2 linked regions of the Schizosaccharomyces pombe genome follow. Changing the gene in region 1 together with any one later gene gives a genetic interaction. Each region holds a gene or a part of one and is shown in the gene's direction. Other genes may lie near its edges.

Evidence for each region.
Region 2: mutations in mde7 (region 1) and wtf13 together harm fitness more than expected from each alone (negative genetic interaction), as found in Schizosaccharomyces pombe (one large-scale study listed by BioGRID).

The regions. Positions count from the first base shown.
Region 1 is NC_003421.2:150,957-161,820, forward strand, and holds mde7 (RNA-binding protein Mde7), read left to right. Parts: upstream 1-4,949; coding exon 4,950-7,235; downstream 7,236-10,864. Other genes in the region: SPOM_SPCC320.08 (transporter), read right to left, coding at 351-1,868; SPOM_SPCC320.06 (uncharacterized protein), read right to left, coding at 7,621-8,237, 8,295-8,547; SPOM_SPCC320.05 (sulphate transporter), read right to left, coding at 9,037-10,864.
Region 2 is NC_003421.2:1,579,091-1,589,812, reverse strand, and holds wtf13 (wtf meiotic drive antidote Wtf13), read left to right. Parts: upstream 1-7,884; 5' UTR 7,885-8,118; coding exon 8,119-8,254; intron 8,255-8,475; coding exon of another isoform or gene 8,476-8,485; coding exon 8,486-8,758; intron 8,759-8,806; coding exon 8,807-9,163; exon of another isoform or gene 9,164-9,199; coding exon 9,200-9,391; intron 9,392-9,431; coding exon 9,432-9,494; intron 9,495-9,544; coding exon 9,545-9,690; 3' UTR 9,691-10,222; downstream 10,223-10,722. Other genes in the region: snp27 (U4/U5/U6 small nuclear ribonucleoprotein complex subunit), read right to left, coding at 1,210-1,944; SPOM_SPCC162.02C (AMP-binding dehydrogenase), read right to left, coding at 2,388-5,333; SPOM_SPCC162.03 (dehydrogenase), read left to right, coding at 6,031-6,909.

The DNA.
Region 1 (10,864 bases):
TACAAAACAACTTGGTCATTTAATTTTCATCATTTTATAACTGGAATTGCACATAGGAGTACGAGTGCGAGTACAAGCACAACATTCATTCTTGAATGCCTTCTACAAGAATGCGTTATATGAACTCACTTACATTCAATGATTAGAACTCTCCGAAATGTTATTGAAAATGAAGGTATACGTCTCATTAGCCCTAAAAAACCCAATATTAAATCCATAGTCCAACATTAAATGCTTGCTAAAAATAACAGAAAGAAAAGTGCGCATACACATCGCGCAGAAATTAAAATAGAATAAAATGGGAGTCTTGAAAAAGAGGAAGTCAAGAAATGGCAAAGAACTATCAGGATTTACGACTTTCTGACAAAGACATTCTTAACTGAAAGATAAGCATCGTAAATCCTTTCTTTGACTTCATTATCATGGTGAGCAACGACAATGTCGTTTTTCTTATTAAGTTCGTCGTTCGACGATACAAGAGAAGGAGGGCGGCGGACTGTTCCAACACCATCAACGCCCTGCCCCTTTTTAAGCCAAGGCTTGATGGACTCACGAGTAGCGTCAACGAACACGTGGTATACAAACAAACCCAATATAATTAAGACGAAGGCAATGGGGTACAGCCAGTACACATGATATCCAAACACATGAATACCAATAACCAAGCTCCAAAAATCGGAAGTCAATAAAGAGATATTATAAAAAGTCGCAGAAGACATTCTAAAGAGAATAGGAGCCAAACTATAAAGCAAGAACATGACGAGAATAAAACCAGCTAAGTAACCACCCATTTCACTAGTCCAATGCAGGGTATACAAATGGTGACGGTCAAAAATAAAGGTTTGAATAATGCTGATAATAGAACCGTAGAGACTTAATTGACCGATGACTACGTAAAGCGGCAATTTGGAAGCAAAGTATTCCTCCAAAGTATTGGACACACCATAACACGTAGCGCCGATAATCATGTAACCATCACCCAAACCAGGGTTGACAGCAGAATAATCACCACGAGAAATCACATCACTAACGACCAGCAAAACCAAACCACCAATGCAAGCCACGACACCAAGAATTTGAGACCAGTGATAGCGAACCTTTAAAAAGATAAAGGAAAGAATTACAACTGCCACAGTAGCCCAAGAATCGAGTAAACTTGCACTAAGCATGTTTGTGTATTGGTAGGCTAGTACAACGAAATAATTTCCTTCAACGTCAAAAAAGGCAAAGATGATATATTTCCAACCGTGACGAAATATCATTTCAAAATACTTTTTAAATCCCATACGAAAAACAGTGTATGGTGTGTACACAAGAGTTAGCAAAGCGTAAACCAAGAATGTTTGAAAGGCAGGAATATTACTGATGCCAGACATGTATCCATTGAATGTGTTGGTCGCAGTAATGCACAGAGAGAGAACCTGACCAAGGAAAAACACAATCCAAAATCTTTTATCTAGTAGAAAATAAAGGGGTTTTGCCTTTGGAGTTGACTCCACCTCTTCCTCGGCGGCTGGTACTTGAGAAGCAGGAAGGCCAATATCATGTTCAAACGGTGGTGGCTCAATGGGATGAGAATCAATATTTACGTCTAGTTTTTTGTCGATAGAGGGTCTCTCACTCTTGATTTCTGAACCATTAGAGCTTTGCCCCTGAATGAATGCGCTACCATACTCAGAATCGGCGGCAGCAATTGAGGAATTATGAGTGTAATGACTTTTATCGAAGTCAGAAGTACTGCTTTCCTGGTATGACTCTACAATACCTAGCGGGTCTTGTGAAGTTTGAATTTCTTCATTCAAACTACTGGAGTTATCGTGCTGGCCCTCGTGACTTTGCACTGGCACGTGTATCGAACCGTCAACCATTCCTATCTACAGATCACTTTTCAGTAAAGTCACTGTTTATGGAATGTTGTTTCAAGAAAGAAAAAATTGAAAAAACAATAAAAAAGTGAGAAGGAGAGTTCAACATCGCATGGAAAACCTCTTTCAGTGCTGTAACCTGGCGTGACTGCCCAAGTAACAATGTGAGATATAACCATGAGTAAAGTTAAACGAATGTATAACATGCAAAAATTAACAAAGCTGAAGCGAAAGCGAAGGCTTTTAGAGCTAAATGCTTGTACATTCATCGTTTCCAAATGCAGTAGTAAATTAATAGTAAAAGCTCGACTTTTGAAATTAATACCTGAGTTGGCTTGCTATTCTTTGTAGGGGGGCCGATTTTACCCAACATGTGCTAATTTTAGTGAAGAGAGAAATCTTCCAGCTTCTAGATGAAATGAAATAAAAAAGCGAGTAAGAGAGAAGAAATGTGTTGCTTTTTTTTATTACAGCACTAAGAGAAATTCAATGAAGATGGGATGAATGTTATGGACTAGTATTAAATATAAGAATCTCGACGCTAAAAAAATACTGTTTGTTAGAATACGTAAAAAGACTTTGTATAAATAACTTAGGGAAAACTAGCTTGATTTATGTAGTATTCTATCCCTCTTGTAGAAGTGTGTAAGACATAAATATTTAAATTAATGGGAATCGATATTTTGGGGTTCATCCCAAATGAGCCGGTAACGTAGAAAACGAATCAAGATACTAAACTTGTAAACACATGTATAAACAATTAAAACAGCTAAGCATGTATCACGAGTATTAACGATTTGGTAAATGTTAAGACAGTTTATTATGTCCGGTCCTCCTGTTTGCTGCTACGAATATTCAAGAATAAAGAAGCAAATGTCAATATGATAAGTGAATGTTTCTCTAGAAAAGATAGAAAATAACTAAGCCACTTGTTATCAGACATACAGTACGTGAACATAATCAAGCGTATGACTGAACTATGATTTTGGTACCTCCCTTCCACAGCATAAGCTTCTCCAAGATTGTTTAACTTTTTAGAAATTAGCTCCGATTCAGTTGGTTAAATCTAGGCTCTTTAGTTTGTCTTTTAAGCAACTCATATACAGCTTATAATATCAATTTATTATAGACATATCAATAACACTTATTGCTCAAGTATTTACAAGCCATCAAAATTAACGCATCCTTAAATCTGTAACAAACTGCGTAACTGCAAGCTAACATACTGTAATTTAACGATCAAGCTCTTATGTAGACTTTACGTCGTTCCGAACTCATTAAGCTTGCTAGGGGTTTTAACGAAATTGCGTTATGTCATTCTGTGTAATAAAATTGTCACCACCATTCCTGAGATCACTCATCTATCATAGCAGTCAAAAGCATGCAGATGATCCATTGGGATATTAGAAATTGCCAAGCCTTCCAGTTCATTTCCATACGAGGCAAATGAGGAGAAACGAGACTTTTCTTCTCTAATATTGATCTATTCAAGAGCAATTTAGTCACAAGTTCTGATCATCTGTTCGTACTTGAATATGTAAACATTACAATAAACGGAACCAAAAGTCAAAGCATGCAAAGCGAAGTGAATTTAAACAGTTCATTCCTTATTAAAAGAACTGCTTGTCCATATTTTTTGACAAGAATATGCTTCTTTTAAGATAGACAGCAAATAGGCGGTTTTAAGGTTGATGCAAACATAAATCATGTTACAGCAACTACTTTTAAGGCGTAAAGTTTACCTTCATAGTTGACAGTAAATTATTTTTATCTTTCTATTTTTGAAAGCAAATTCGTAAGGAGAATAATAATAGTATTATAAACACCACTTGATCGCAGTGCTGCGTCTAGAGTGTTGATTAAAATATGACTCAATTGCTTCGACACCTCCATAGGACTACTTTTACTCAATAATCTGTAATCATCGAGTATATTTAAAGTAAGAGAATAGCCTCCATCCCCGCTTTCCAAAAACGTATACATATAAAGTGCATCGCATACGCTTGAAATTAACTTTTGATTCAGAAATCTTCTCGTGTCTAATCCTTTGTCCTAAAAAGCCTAATTTCGTGTATCTTATACTGCGAAGCAATACAGAAGATATTTTCTGGAAATAATTGACTCTTTTCCCTTCCAATCCATATACGAGGAATTTTTGACATTAAATTCCACTTTTAGAACCATTCTATTCTTTCTCTTTCCTTGCTACCACCATCCATTTCTAGTCATTCAGTTCAGGTTTTTTAGTAAACCTTCTTGTTAATTGGTTATAACATCGCTCTTTCATTGCTTAAAAGAGTAACTTTTTAAATCACCGTACCTTCCTTGCAAAGTTAACCTGTATACATCCTTCTGTGAACCCGCAACAGACCATTTTATTTTTTTAAATAAAGCATAGTCTCAAGTTCCCTAACATTTGATTAAATACCGATTGCCGATTAAAGCATTCCGACATTTTTGTTTTCATCAGATTATTCAAGTAACGAGTTAAGTATTTTTTACCTCGTTCACACATTGACTGCCTTTTTCTTTTTTGCATTACTTTTTTGACAATCTCGATAATCTTTTATTAATCCAGCCTTCATTTTCAATTCCTTTTTTTTTTTGAAATTCAAATTCTCGTTGACTCCTCACATCGACGACATAAGCAAATTCCGTTCTCTCACTAGGCCTATTGACCGATTTGAGCATTTTAAACAAGCATTGTTTGTCTATCTCTTTTTTGACTTCTGCATACCTCAGTCTTGTTACCTTGAACGTTATATTTTCTCTGTTTTTTTATCGAGGTAAACAAACAAAAAAAAACATATTTTATAGTATCCAATCAAAAAAAACCACTTTTTTTAATTTTTCATCTACAAACAATAAATAACTTTCAAACGAAAGAATTTACTGTTTAATATTCTGTTGATTCCTTAACTTCTTGGAGGATCTATTTATAAAACTGCTGCCTGCGACGATTCAAATCGAGGTGTTCCCAATCAATTTGTAAAACAGGTGTTTTCTTTAATACTTTTGGTTCTATTTTGCATTTTCTGTTTCTAGTACCGCCACGTTCATTTATTAATTATCCCTAATTGAATAATGAGTCAACTTTATGCTTTAAACGGACAACCTCTAGCAGGGAAATCTGATGACCTGGCAAATAAACTTGCCGCCTTCGGATTGTCTCAACCTAACCATAGTTCTCTTTCAGAACAACAATCGACCAACTCTTTGCTTCATGGTTCAGGAGCATTTAATAAACCCCCACTGTCCAGGAATTCAACGACAAATCCGCTTAATTTATTATATACACAAACACAGCAACCTGCAAGGTCGACAACTCCTTTTCTGCTTAACCCAGTAGGATCAAGTCCTGGTAAATTGCCCGTGCCTTCAAGGAACAACTCTTACTTACAGGGCACTGCGGAGTCAAACTCCGGTAATTTTGCAAATAATTCAATTAGCAATAATTGCTGGAATTCCGCATACAATTCTAACAGTTTCGAAGGCACAGGCAGCTCTCCAAATTTTCCACCCCAAAATCAATTTCTTTCAGATAGTCGATCTTCAATTGCAACGCTAAATGCCATCCCTTCGTTGGATCAAAGTGTTCTATTGAATCCAAATCTTCGGGCTAGAACACCTAGCTTGGTACCGGAACATTACTTTGATGATACCGACAAATCAGTACATTCTAAAAGTAGTTCTGGATCTAACTCCCTTAGTGAAGCTTCAAATGATGATTTAGAATCTTCTATCATTCAAATTGTTGGTGGCTTGCCGGACGATTTTGATGATAGAGAGCTGAGTGGAATTTTCACATTCTGCGAAGGATATGATTTTTCAAAAATCGAAAGTGAAAATGGGCACCGAAAAGCTATTGTATACTTTCGGAACGCAATAGCTGCATTAAAGGCAAAAAACATGTTAAACGCGTCTTCTACAAACAATTTCACCATTATTCAAAGGGATGTTGTAAGGCAACAAGAAAATGAATATCACAAGGGCATTCCACCATTGACTACCCCAAGTTTATATTCCCAACGCCTGTCAAATAACTATGACTCAACAACGCCTGGGTTTCCTCGGTTTTCACCAGCAAATTTTGATTCTGTCATCAATAAGGACGTTACTTCAGAATCACGAATGTCCACCTCGTATCCAGCGGTATTGGAAGCTTTTAAATCGTTCAACCCAATAAAGGCTCCTAAAGCTGAATATCTTAATCAATCACGAGCATCAATGGGAAACCCTTCACCTTCAAACTGGAATAATAGGCTATTACAGCCATCTTCTAAAGAGCAAGCCGTATATTCTTTCCAAACGCAGAAAAATAGCAAAGGGCTTCAATTTACAAGCAATGAATTAACAAACCCCACAGCCAAATATTCACAGTTGCCAAACAATATTGCTAATATTGGTGAATCTAATTCTTTATCAAATCAGCCGAATAACTTTGCACAAACGTCGTTCGATTACCAACCTAATCATCCAAATGCAATTTCGCCCAAAGCAAAGTTTTCTTTACCTTCAAGACCAAGTTATCATAAAGACAACTCTTTTATTTCAAAACAAGCTATCGATAAATCAAATCCTTTTGAAGAGGCATTGCGATTAGAACGTACGAGCCCTGTTAAAGAGCTACCTGCTATAAGACCACGTACAATTCCACTGAATGGTGTTGCCCCATATGAAAGTGAACTTAGGCCGCCGCCCAAGTGGAAGCCTATGCCAGACCTTAAAGTAGTCCGTTCACGCCCGTCATTAAAACAACGCCCTTTAAGGAGCGCCGAATATGTCCGTGTTTGTGAATTAAAATGCCTTCAGGAAGAAGAATTTGATAATAAAGTGCTATTGGAACAAGTAGAGTCCAATGTGCAAACTGATCATAACTCACCCTGTAACACAATTTATGTGGGAAATTTGTCCAACCCAGACCAAGAGAAAAAGCTTAGGTTGGCTTTTTCAAAAGAGAAGGGGTATCGGAGACTATGTTTCAAAATTAAGGGAAACAGTCCTATGTGTTTTGTAGAATTTGAGGAAGTTTGCCATGCTGCGAAAGCAATGGAAAAAATGCAAGGTGCTGCATTAGACGATAAAATTAAAGGTGGCATTCGCTTAAGCTATTCCAAAAATCCACTTGGTGTCCGCTCCACCGAAAACCTTTCAACCACAGCATCCCTTTTTCAACAACACGGCCCTCCGAAGAAAAGCACGGACTGCTACTCAGCAAAGGCATCCGCTGCTGTTGAACGAAAATACCATTTTCAAAATATGACTCCAAAACCAAATGGAACCAACAGTGTCACCACACTAAACAGGACCCAAACTCACTCGTCGGAAGTGAACGATTTGTTTGATATTTTTGAGTTTCCTAGCAAATAGAAACGGTGAGTTTTTCTTCAATAGTCAACACTATTGAAAAGAGCACGCTAAGGCTATGTAAAGAAAATGACTCTATTTCTATACAAAGTCAAAACGTTTGATTTTTAGTTTTAACATTCAGAATCAGTTGCATGACAGAATTATTTTATCCTTTGTGAAAAATTCCACAATTATTGAGAAAAAAAATAAAAAAATAATAATAACTAGCATAATTAATAAAAAATTTGGTTGAATTTGGTAAGCAATTATTGAAATTCAAAGTAACATGCTGTCAGCCTTCACTAAGCTAGATTGGAAAAAACTTGATCTCACACTTTGGTTGCAAAATGTAGAATAAAATTTATAACGCAATAAAATTTAACGACGTCTTCCATTTAAAGTCGAATTAACGATTTATGTTTGTTAGTTCGTCATGGTTTAAAAGTTCGGAAAGAGTTTTGAATGACAAATGCTTCCGTTTTTTAGAAACACCGAGGGTCATTATTTTGTTTGATAAGATTTGTGTAGAAGTAGTGTAAATACCATAATATGAGCAAATCAAATGCATCCAATATCGAGCGAAGGCTGTTGCTTTCGGATTGCTAGGACAATCAATTAACATATAAATTCGATAGCTTCTCTGCGTTTCCAAAAAAGAAGACGTATCAATTTCTGCTTTAATATTAAAGCTTTCCGAAGCATATATCGCTGGTGAATGGTCGTGGTCATAAGCATAAAGCTTTTCGTTCATAATATTATTCAAGCACTCGTCCAACAACAACACTAGTTGCAGAGAGTTGTAACATTTGATTTCATGTCTAATCCTTTTAACAATGGATTTATGGTGATTGTCGTTAAACCTCTGGTTCGATGATGATGTTAGCAATGAAGATATATTATTTACTCCATCCTTGTAAAACTCATCTCCAACGGTTAAAAAACCAAAAGCTGGTCTGTGGGTAAATAAATCCTTATAAACGACCTCATCAGGATCATCCGCTGCTTGCTTTAATATATGCAAGTCTGAGAGTCGATATTAGTAAATAGTTTCAAAAATGCGAACAGCGACCCAAAACATACCATTAAGGAAACGATTCTTTTTCCTCGAACCGATGTTTCTCTTGGAATCAAGGTTCCTTCTTTTCCATGAATTGTCATTGTCAATACTTTTAACAAAATCTAAAACACGCGCATCGGATCCACAGTTACGAGCAGAAATGGATTGGAACGACTGTAGGTTTATCCTTCTGGTTGAGAGAGTTAGTGGAACATGCTTTGAGTCGGCACTAGAATAAGCATCCGCGCAATGCAATGTATTTGAAATGAGAACCATCGTGGCACACGACAGCAACCAAATGCCGATTTCTCTTTAGATAATAGAAAGGAACTTGCGGAATCGTTACACTTCAATAAACTAATTTCTCGAGCCCTAACGAATCACTTGTGATGAATAGTGAGGCACGGTTCAACTCATTAAATGATCACTGTACATGAAAAAGGCTGAATGAAAACATGAGTTTTTAGGATGTTAGTATAGCTTAGATGAAAACGAATAGAGGTTTATACACTCTATCTTGACTTACAAAAGCCAATTTATAAAAATTTCTAATTTTTATTCAAAATATATATACATAGATATATAGTTCTATGGGAAATAAATAGAAAGCAAAGTATAAGCATTTTGCCATTGATTTGAGAGGCAACAAAAATAGTCTCAACATTGCAAGAATAGGAAGGGACAATTTAAAGACCGTTTAGCGTTTTTAACGCGTAATTGGGGATAATCCATAAAATAGACATAAAAGAGCTACTCCAAAAGTTTTTACACTCCAAGTTCGATATCGCAAAGAGCATCCACTTTTTTAATACTATCCTGGACGTGATCGTAACCACCGATGAGATCCAAAAGACCATGTTTTTCAAAAATATGAAGAACTTGCGGGTCTAAAGATACCAAATGAACCTCAACTTGGTGCTCGACATACTCTTTAAGGATACGCTGAAAGGCAAAAAGAGCACTTGAATCTATGGAAGAGACACCTACCATGTCAAAAACAACGACTTCAATGTCTTCAATACGACGATAAGGAGTTTCTCCAGGATGCATTCTTGGATGTCCGTACTTTTCTAAACGATTTAGTCGATCTTCAAGCTGACTGACGTTTGCAAAAAAAAGCGGTTCAGGAATGCGAACGACTAAGATGCGGGGGGCACTCTCGACAGCAGTCGAAGAAGGATTAGTTCGATGGGATAAAGTGGAAGCTGCATCTTCAAGGATAAATTCTGCTGTACCGTTTGAAGTAGGAGATCTAAACATGATGCGAGAACGGGTGGAGTGTCTTATAATTTGCATCACTGTTATGGACAATCCAAAGATAATTCCAGTTTCCAATCCAAACATCATAGTGCATGTTGCGATAGAAAATATAATTCCCAATTCCCACCACACTCTTATGCGGGCTAACTTGAAAATTTCCACGGCAGCGTCGGCGAACAATGATACACCCAAGGAAACCACCATGGAAGCAAGCATGCAAGTAGGTACAGTGGAGAACACAGGCATGATAAAGAATGTTGCTAACAAAATAAGTACACTACAAGCAATAGTAGCTACCTGTGTTCGAGCACCAGACATTATGTTACATTTAGTACGTAGGTACCCACCGCAAATAGGAAGCCCACAAAATAAACTGCTTCCTATATTCGCAGCCCCTAAAGATATCAGCTCACGATTGGAGCGTATTAGATTATTTGTCTGCAACGAAATAGCTTTCACTGCAATAACCGTATCTATGAAAGCAAGGAATGAACACATTACTCCAGTTTGTAAACTTTGGGTAATAAAGTGAAGCTTATTTTTTTCAGGTAGGGGAAGCTTAGGAAGTAGTATTGTGGTTTTAATTTCTCCTAAAATGGCAATACCGTAATTGGAATGCCAGTCAAACTTTTTGCTCAAAAAAGAACCTAACAATAGTATGATAACTGCGTCAGGAATCGAGACAATTCGAGGGTATTTAGCGGAAAGCTTGGATTTAAGATTTCGACAACCTATGAGCAACGATATTGTAATACATGAAAGTATAGTGGTATATATGTTAGCTTTCGACATGTTCCTTATTAAAAACATAAGTTTATCAATAGGAAAGTCCGAACCTTTATATTTGACTCCAGAAAATCCAAAAAATACAGATCCTTGATTGATCATAATAATCATAGATATTGACAATATGCATCCACGTAACAATACTGGGGATACAAGTGCATCCAAAAATCCCAAGCGGAACAGCCCGGCAGCTAAATTGATAATTCCTGCGATAAAGGCAATCAATCCAGTTACTAAAATTGCTGTTTCTTGAGGAACATCGGCTTTCGACAAAACGCGTTGGTGAATGTTTTCAGCAATAAGCAGACACATACCAGCCTCGGGTCCGATGGATATCAGCGGGCAAGCTGTAAAAAGACAATATAATATGGGGCCAATTGCAGTACCTGTTAAAATGTATATTGGGGGGACACCTAGAAACGTTTGTGCAAATGATAATGCAATAGGCACAGAGAGACAAGCAGTCGAGCAGCCAGCTAACACATCCCAAATGATATTTCTTAAGGAATAGTTGGGAAGCCAATGAAGGACAGGGATATAATAATTG
Region 2 (10,722 bases), 1.4 Mb from region 1:
CTCGCTCTCGCCCTGCCGCTCGTTGTCATCCTATTTGTCTCTCTTCACTTACCAACATGGGCTGCAAAACTTGCACTGCTTAATCTGACAACCAACATCGTCCATACTGGTTTCGCAACCAACAAACCGACAAACTGGATACTCTCTACTAGGGTAGAAACTTGGCTGTGAGGAGGTACTGTAAGAAGGTACTGCGAATTCGGTTGCTCAAAACTGAATTCAACAATACTCCAGTTTATTTTTTGGATAACTCATTCGATCATGCAAACTTGAGCTATCGCTTGCTAAATTTTCATACTGCCTATTCTATAATGGTTCGCATGCTCCGCCGGCCTCCCAATGCAAATTCAACCAACACTATGTATTTTCAAATCTTTCCATCCATCTGTCCCATTCTCCCCTTCAAGAAAATAGATTAAGCCCATTTATCGAGCTCATTATCAAATATAACGTAATGCAGGCTACTTTACAGTAAAACATTAATTGGTTCCTCTCTACCATTTTTTCCTTATACTCTTCGAACACAGTACGATATACAATACACAATACCATACAATATACAATAATACCATACACGGTTTATGATCATGTGTCGTGTTTCATCAAGCCATTAGGCATCAAAATCAACAGTCATTAATATCGCCATTGTTACTGCCATAGCAGAAAGCAAAGCTTTGTTTAACGAATTTGCATAAACTGGCCCATCCGTCCCACATCTTTGCAAATGCTTCCTTTAGCACAGTTTTTATTTCATTTCTCTTGTTTATACACTCTACACACGCTTCCTTCTCTTACTGTAAGAAAAGTGGATTCGGCTTGATTGCGCACATGCAAACAATTTCCAATATTCGCGGGGTCCTTCTATCTCTCTCGCTTAATATAAGGTTTTTATCTAGCGATATTCACGCAGGATTGCGTTAAATGCATGGCAAAAGTTCATGCCAAGTAAACAATACACCATTCCAAAATCGCAACTTCTTTAGGACGAACATTTTGATTCAACTCTTCTCTCGTTTACATTTCAACTTTTTTCGTCGACTTTACTAAATTAAACATTTTTTTATTTTTACATCTCTTTTCATGTTCTCTTTATAACTAAACTACTCCTCTCTTCATTTTCCCTTTACAACTACTTTTTTCCGGATTCTGCTTGCATATCATTCATTAAAGAGTTCTATCCATACACACCTTCCCTCCTTTCTTGACTTTCTATTCATTATCCAATGGACGATTAAATCCACCGGGTCGGTTCATATACTGTCTATACTTGGTTTTCTTTTGCTTGTACACCTGGCCCACGTCTCCATGCTTCTTCCCCGTCGTTGTGTCAAATCCCGAAAATCCCATAATACGTTTCATCTCTGCCGTCGCTTCATCCTCTTGTTCCACAATTTCTTCCTCAGCGCTCTTTGTCCTCGTCATCGCATCGTGGCTTTTTCCTACTTCCAAAGACCCATCCTTATCCTCCTTTACTCCATCCATCTTGTCGCCTTGATCAACAGGCCTTTCTTCCTCTTCTTTTGGAGATGGTGCTTGCAATTTTTCATGCTCTCTTTTCCTTTCCAACCCCTCCCCTTCAGGAGAAAAGGGTGAGACACCGTCTCTTCGTTCCTTCCGATCCCGTCGACCTTCATAGTCTCGCTCTCGAAATCTTTCTCGGCCATGCTTCAGCTCCGGTTGCCAGTTTCGTTCATGCTCTACTGGACGCCTAGGGCTTTCCTCTCGCACAGACTCTCGATGCCTTTCGTAACGATCGCGTCTTCTAGCTGGACTGTAATCTCTACGTTGTGAATCCTCGTAACGTCTACTACTTCTCTCGTCTCTATAATTTCGACGATATTCACGATAATCCCTGTCTCGTTGATCACCGCGTGAGCGACTGGATTCGTAATTTCGGCCTTGCGCATAATTTCGACGGTGTTCACCGCTTCTTGACGAAGACATTGCTACTATACCAAAAAGGAATCCCCGATTATCTTCTCCAAAACTTTTCAACTATCCCAAACTTCACAGTAGATTGAACAAATAAACAATTTCCCTTAGAAGCTAAATCTTCTAAAATTATACAATTAAATGTTTTTTTATTTGATCCTGCTGCTAGACGCTTTTTTAAATTTTTTTTGTGGGTTTACAACTGTGATACATTCAAACTTCTCACTCGTTATAAAGGTAGTGAGGATCAGTAGGTCAGGTAACATGAAGCTTGCTTCTTTACTTGTTACTTGATATTGTAAATAAATCAACAAAGAATTGCAGCATAATTAATATACACTTAGATTTAGATTAGTAGTTAGAAACCATTTACTGATACATCTAAACCAATCTTTAATTTTTGTACATCTCTTTGGCCCCTCTGTTCCAAAGGACAAATCAGTGCTAACACTAAGCTATTCAATGTATAGATTCTCCAGCCCGTTTGCAATGGCTTCCTTAGTTAGAAAGGTTTCACTCAAAGGATAAATATTCCTTAGCCCGTTGCTTGGTGTCATGCTGCTTTTCAGAGCAAACTTGGTTGCATGCTGAAGAGCAAATAGAGGATGGTCTTCACCTTTTTCATCGACATCTTTTTCAAGTGCCTTCAACCAATCCTCCAATGTAACAAAGTCTAGCTTAACGTTTTTCATAGATTCACAAATACAAGCAAACTCATCACCGTCAAACTTATCATAAGCCAAAAGTGGAGCATACGCATCAGCTTCTTTCTCCAATATTTGAGTCAGCGTCATGCACAATGCATCAGTTGTTGAAATGTGGAATACCAAAGATTGTGATTCATCGCTTTGTGGCCAAATACCCATTCGTAAAGCTGTCGCGACGAAACGCCAAAAGAAATCTCTCGATAAAATTTCCCCATCGTTTGCTATAATAAATCCTGGACGAATAACATATATTAAGGGATGTCCTAAATCGCTAATCTTTCGACACAAGAGCTCAGCAACGTATTTGGATAGTGCATATCCAGATGCTTTAGCAGATTGAGTATCATCGTCAAGCTCTACTTCCTGTTGTCCACCTCCAGAGATAAAGTAAAGAGCCTTGGGTCCCATCACACTCAGTTCCAAAACAGTCTTAGTCCCCAAAACATTTGCTGGTCTAAGTTCTTGATACGACTTCATCCAGTGAACTTCCGCAGCCATGTGATAGATTCGGGAAACATTTTCCACCAGAAACTCCCATTTTGCATCATCCAACCCAAATCTAATCTCCTCTACATGAGCCGCCCATACAATTATATTTTCACTCGAAATTCGAAGACTAGGAACAAGTGATATTAACCTTTCTTTAGCAGCTTCATCAGAGGACTCTCGAACTAGACATACAACACTTATATTCAACTTTACTAGATATTCCAAAAAACGACGACCAAAATAACCCGTTGCTCCAGTTAACAAGAAATATTGACCATTGGTAGGCAGAATACTTAACTTGGGAATGGTACGTGATAAAGCGCATGCATCTTCATTTAAAAGTTCATAGGTGATTGACGATACGTTGTAACTTTTCTTTTGAATTATAGAGGCTATCGAGTTAGGGGTACAATTTGAATTCATATTGTAGCGAATTGGGCCTTCAAGATGAAAGTGGGATTGAATAGCATGAAAAAATCTCACAGAATGAATGGAATCTAAACCGCAGGAATAAAGAGGTGCGTCCTTTCCTTCCAAGCTTGGGTTTTGGAGAATTTTTGAAGCAATTTTACTGATTTCAATAGCCACAGGGTTTAATAAAACAGGTAAGCGCTGATCTTCTACGGAAAGGCATTTAGATGCGTAAGTTTCGATAGACTTCAAATCCACTTTTCCTGCAGCGTTACGCGGTATATCAGCAAGCGGAAAGCAACTTGAGAAAAGGTGGTGATCTCGGAGCTCTTTGTTCAATTTTTGCTTTAGTGTTACAGGATCCACACCATTATATGCAGGAACATACACCAATACAAAGCGATTGAATATGAAGAAAGAAAAAGCGTCTTTTACCTCCTTCAATCCTACAACAACTTGGTCAAAATATTTCAAATCAAAGAATACACCATTTCTTTTGACACGTCTTCCTAACCGGCCTTTAATGGTGATTCCCAATTTTCCTTTATAAGAATTCCAAACCGCCAAGTCAGCAAATCGCACTGCTGGTTGACCATCATAATTTATAAACGTAGAATTACGGGATTGAATAGTTTCAGCATCATCGCCTACATAAGGCTCCGATTGTACATCGGTCACAACACAAACAAAGCCCTCGCAACCAATTTTTTCAGGAACAGCTTCGTTATCCTCAGTGACTAACATTAGTTTTTTAACGGTTTTACCAGGGAAATAGACAAGCTCTTTGTTATGCAGTGTGTCTTTCCCATTGTAAGCCAAAAATGAAACCAATCCCGACTCAGTAGTACCATACTGTGGATAAATGGTCGCATTTGGTAATACTCGTTTGCATGTATGATACATGTTTGCAGGGACCATTTCACCGCCTGCTGCTACTAGTTTACAAGCAGGAAAGCATTCTTCCTTGTCAGGCATTATTTGGAGAGTTAGAACAAGGAGATTGGGTAAAATAATTAAACGTTCGCATCCAGCACGAAGAGCATAGTAAACATTCCAAGCAAGCCGTTCAGCCTCTGAAGTGCAAGTAGCCGATATCGAAGAGGATGGGTACAGTAAGTTCCCATTACAATACAAGGCATTAATCCAACTCAAGGTTGTTAAAGCAAAGCTGGTAGCCATTACCATTGGAGTGGAGAGATGATTCATAAATTCAGGAGTTCCATAGTCATAACCCAAAGCATATTTCTTCATGAGAAATGGCATGGATTTAGGGACTCCTGTGGACCCACTAGAATGGTTAATAAGAGCGACTTCCGGCTCTAATCCAGCTCGAATACAAGGAGCATCGATATCCAGCGGCAGCGAAGCCAAGGATGTAGCATTTAAGGTGTCCACCTCAAACTTGGGCTTATATTCATGATAAAGCAAATCAGAAATATTCAAACGTTTAACAAGTACACGAACAACTTGCTGGGACCAAATTTGGTTAAAAATAACGCAGGTTCGTCCAGTAGCCCATAAAGCAAATATAGAACACAGAAAATCCAACTCGTGTCCCATATGTATTCCAACTGTCTTTCCCAAGCCTAAATCATCACAAAATTTAGCAATTGTGTTAACACGACGAAGTAATTCTGTATATGTATATTTAGCAACAATTCCACGTTCATTGTACACGGAGATAAACCGATGATCTGGTGTTTCTTTTGCGTTTTTCAAAAGGCGAGCGATTGGTGTATCTTCTTCTTTAGATATGGATGAAAACGAAACTGATTCTGACGAATCGCACAGCATTTTTTTTTAAATATTTTCAATACCAGTATCAACTAAAGAAGCAACCTTGAAATGACAAACAGCAAATTTCGTAAAGTTAAAAAGTTAACACTTCTTGTTTCAAATCGGTCTTCTATGCTAACGATACATTAATCTCACTGCATGTAAAAAAACCAGGATCCGGCTATAGGAATCCGACTCCATTGCCCTCAATAAGAGTATACAGTATCCGGAAGAACATATTGTATTCTTACAACTTTAAGAGTTAACTAACTTAATTCACAAATTGTTCAGGACATTGAGACAGCGGTATGGTGGTGAGTTTTGAGACGTAGCGCAAGCACTACATTACTGAGCCTATCTATATCCCTTTATAGGATTCTTTTATACGATGAGCTACGGATAGTAGAAACGAAAAGTGTTTACAGACATCCGAACACCAACAACATCATCATACTTTCACTTCGAGAAATGAAGACTTAGGAAAAGCAATATCCAGCAAGTGGATTAGAGAGTTAAGTTAAGCAATTCATTGTTAAGAAGCTCAAAAGAATCAGGGTTTGTCTGTTACGCGACGATTGTGAACTACTCGAATACCATTTGAAAAGGCTTACTACAACAGTAATCGGGTAAAAACGGGCTTGGTTGAGAAAGCAAAAAAATTGTTTAATTGTACAATCGTGGTGTCTCAAAAGACGAAACACGATCATAAGAAACAATGAAATCTACGTTTTCTACTGTACTCATTACTGGGTCATCCAAAGGATTGGGCTATGCATTGGTGAAAGTTGGATTGGCCCAAGGTTATAATGTAATAGCTTGTTCTCGTGCTCCCGACACAATAACCATCGAGCATTCAAAATTATTAAAGCTCAAATTAGATGTTACAGATGTGAAGTCTGTTGAAACCGCTTTCAAAGATGCAAAGAGGCGATTTGGAAACGTAGACATAGTGATCAACAATGCAGGGTATGGCCTTGTTGGCGAATTTGAATCATACAACATTGAGGAAATGCATCGTCAAATGAATGTAAATTTTTGGGGAGTTGCATACATTACCAAAGAAGCGTTGAATCTCATGCGCGAATCCGGTAAAGGAGGGCGTATTTTACAAATTTCGTCAGTCGCAGGTTATTACCCATCTCCGTGTTTAAGCATGTATAATGCTAGCAAATTTGCTGTCGAAGGGCTTTCGCAAACAATTATGAGAGAGTTAGATCCGAATTGGAACATTGCGATAACTATTGTACAGCCAGGTGGCATGCAAACAGAATGGGCTTCCTCTAATATGCAATGGGCAAAACCTCATCCAGCCTACGAAAATGACAGGTCTTGGCGACCATTTTGGGAAAACTATCATGGCTGCGAGGAAACTGACCCGAACAAAGCTGCGGAGTTGTTATATAGCATTGCCAAACTCGACAGGCCGCCTCAAAAGCTTGTCCTAGGCCACGATTCCTTGGAATTAATCCGCAAGCAACATCAAGACATAGGGGAAGAGCTTGAAAGTAATGTTGCACTTAGTACAAGTGTTGCAAAGGATGATTTTGATCCAGCTTCGGTAGAAACTTTGCGTCAAAATCTTCAATCTATGTGATGAAGGCATACAAGAATTTTTTTTGATCTCGTTGAATAGAATTAAATGAAGAGTTGAATGTATATGAGGATCGCAAAACGATCATTTCCTTATTTACACATTCATATGAGAAAATGCAGTCAAACAATTTCTAAAACTACAATGCATTGGTTCAAATATTAATGAACTTGTCTGCATTTATTTTCTTTGCACAAATTTTTCACTTTCATACTTCGTAAAAAAAAATGTGTATTTCACTGATTAAGAAACGTTCCAAATTACCAATTAATGCTATTCATTTGAATATAACACCACTTCTGTTGCTTCTTCATAAATTCTGAATAACAAACATCAGTGTCTATACTGTTTAGTAAGGCTACGGACAAAAATTTGTGCCTCTAATGATCTAGCGTCAGAACATTAGAATTGTCACAAATTTTAAAAATTAAGATCAAAGTAAAGTACATGAATCTCCATTGTATTGTATTAGAATCCGTGTTTATAATTATGCTCCGTAACATAACATATACTAATCTTACCTACTTCTAGCTTCGTCTTTTCATTGTTTATCAAATAGTGAGCTGCGAAATAATGTGGATTGTGTCAGCAATACTACACTACGCTATAATACACTACGTTGCGTATCACTATATGTCACATGTATATATAGTACCATGTATGATACGATATTGAGATTGATCTTAATGATAATCTATCAAGATCTATATTATCTGAATAATATAAATAGAGCTACTGCTGAACCTCGTTCCTCAGTTCAGTTATGAGCTATATTAGTGATAGGTAACATTATAACCTAATTAATACAATACCTATACTCAGTTGCTACTCATATAACCTGTGTAATGTAATATAATAGGTCACAAGGAAAACTCACCGCAGTTCTACGTATCCTTAAATCAGATACCAAACTGCGTAGCTAACATGAAGGAATCTCAAGCTAACTTAATAAAAAGGCAGTGACAGAATAAATGTGTCAGAAGCAATCCACTGCCTCGTTCAGTTTTTTCGTTCTTCTTTTTTTATGCCATTGTTTGAAGGAATTAGTTGGAAATTTGTTTGAACAATTTTATTATTTTGTTAAAAAGTCTTTAAAGCGATTGGAATTGGACTACAGAGCGAATATTCTTGATTTCGCTGTTTCGTTTGTCGCAATCACAGCAATTGAACTATTTGTGTGTATATCATTCAATAATAGATTGTTTCTAAGAAATGAAGAATAAAGATTATCCCTTGAGGTCGTCTATGGATGAATTGAGTACAAAAAACGATAATGAAATTGATTTGGAAAAAGGTCCTCTCCCAGAATACAATTCAGAAGATGGGAGCACATTGCCTCCATATTCAGGTAAGTGTTGTGTTGTTGGTGGATAAGATAAAGAATTGAGTGTGTCAAGGATTATTTGCTGTGTCTGTTTGTTTTGATTTACAATGTTTTTGTTGTATTTGTTTGTTTACAACTTGACATATTACGAGCATAAATTCGTCTAACAGGGCACACACTTTCTTCCTTCTACATCATTTTAAAAAAAAAAAAAAACCAAATTTCAAAAGTTATTTATTTTATTAATGCTTTCAGAAATTTGGAAATATATTAAAACTGTATCTGAGGATTCAAGTACAGGACCTACAGAAATTGCAAATCCCAATGTCGAAAGAAGACAAGAATTCAAAGATTCACATCCAAATATATATTCCCTTCTGAGACTACTAATATCAGTTCTTGCAGTTATTGTTGTCTTTTTTACTGCATGGGTTTGTGTAAACCCGTTGGAGAAGTCGATATTCGGCAAGGTAGCTTTCTCCGTCACAATTGGTATAACATGTCCAATAGTGTTTATTGCTATTTTCTGTAAGCTATGCATGAAGTTGTTAATACGTCCATTCACTAACTCATTAGGCTTCTTTGAAACTTGGACCCAGGCAGTGGCACAATGTATAAAGGTGACTGTAATTTTCTTGGCACAATGTGTAAAGGTGACTGCAATTTCCTTGGCACAATGTGTAAAGGTGACTGCAGTTTTCTTGGCAAAATGTGTAAAGGTGACTGCAGTTTTCTTGGCAAAATGTGTAAAGGTAATTGCGGTCGGTTTGTATAACTCAAAAAAAGATTTGGTGGTTACAATCTGGCTCGCATGGGTAGTCATTTGTTTTATACTCTTTGGTTGCGTCAAGGATGGTAGACTAAACTTAAATAAGGCACTCATCTGTTCCACATGCAGTATTTCGGCTGCTTTATTTTTCATTTTATTGCTTGGTAAGTGAAATTATCTTGCTAAACGCTAACATACAGTTTGTATTCCAATTTGGACACTCAAGCATATGCTTTTTGGTTTGTTTCAAGTGCTGGGTGTACAAAGTTGTGTCGTTATTGTAACGAAAGGTTTGATGTATTTATTTGATAAACATATCGACGCGACAGGCTACGAAATTGAAGCCTCTTCACTCTTTGTTATAGGAAATTTTCTTTTCTTTTACGAAATGGGTTCGTTATATATTCCTGTAATTTACTCTAACCATACCAGAACGTCCAGGTGCTCTCAAAAGGATGCCCAAATTTATCGGGAATGGTATAGCTTCTTTCCTAGGTATGTGTATTCAACCAACTGTATGAATGATTTTTTACTTACCCGACTAGGAGGTTTAGGGAATGCATTTGGAGGGATAGGAAATGCATTTGGAGGGATAGGAAATGCAATTGGGCGGATAGGAAATGCGTTTAGAGGTGCCAACGATAATAATGACATTCCCTTGGGAGAAATGGATGTTGAAAGCGAAGTCTAATTGCTTTATTAATGTGGTTGTCGCTCCAGTTGGAAAACCTCTTTACCAAAATCACCAACGCAGAGAAGCTGCGGCGTTTTTTAAAAATAAGCACCAACATACTTTAATTATTCTCTTGCCTTATAAGTTTGTGAGATATAAGCTTAACTCATTCTTTCAATTACCAAAAATTGCCAACCAATGCATTCTACGATGTTGGATAATGTGCATTGAGGACTGAGTCTTTATTTATTATGTATGCGAGTCTAATTATTTGTCTTTTTTAATGGTACTCTACGCTACAAACAATAATGGTTTAACTTGTTTACGACAACTTTAAATTAACTAATGAAATTGGAAAACTCGTTGTTCCACCTTGTTAAATTCACAATTTCATTTTCGTTTATTGCATTCATTTCTCCTTCATCTTGATTCTTAATGAATCAAGCTTAATTATCATTTTTTCCTTTTGTTTAATGGTTTACTTTAATACAAACAAATTTCAATGTTTACGAAATAATGAATAGCATAATAAAATATTGTGATTCAGAACGATGGTTTGTTATCGTAATGATTATAATGACACATTGCAATAGTGAGTGTTTAGTACTACGGTATGTCAGCAATACTACATTACGCTATGATACACTACGTTGCGTATCACTATATGTCATATGTTGGAATACTAGCTAAGATCCGTTTATTGATAATCACGGGTAACTATCCGTCTATATACATAGACACCCGTTGATAACAACTTTTTAGGAAGATTATAAATAGAGCTACAACTGAATCTCGTTCCTCAATTCAGTTATGAGCTATATCGGTGACCGATACTAACAGACTTCTTATAACAATAAACATACATTGTTACTTAACACACCGCATACCGCTACATTGTAGATCGCAAGTAAAACTCATCGCAGTCCAATGTATCATTAAACAGATATCAAACTGCGTAGCTGACATGCTCGATTGACCAACGTATAAATTACAATACCGTAAAATTATATAACGAATTCGTCCTAGGATTTTAGTTATATAAGAATGATA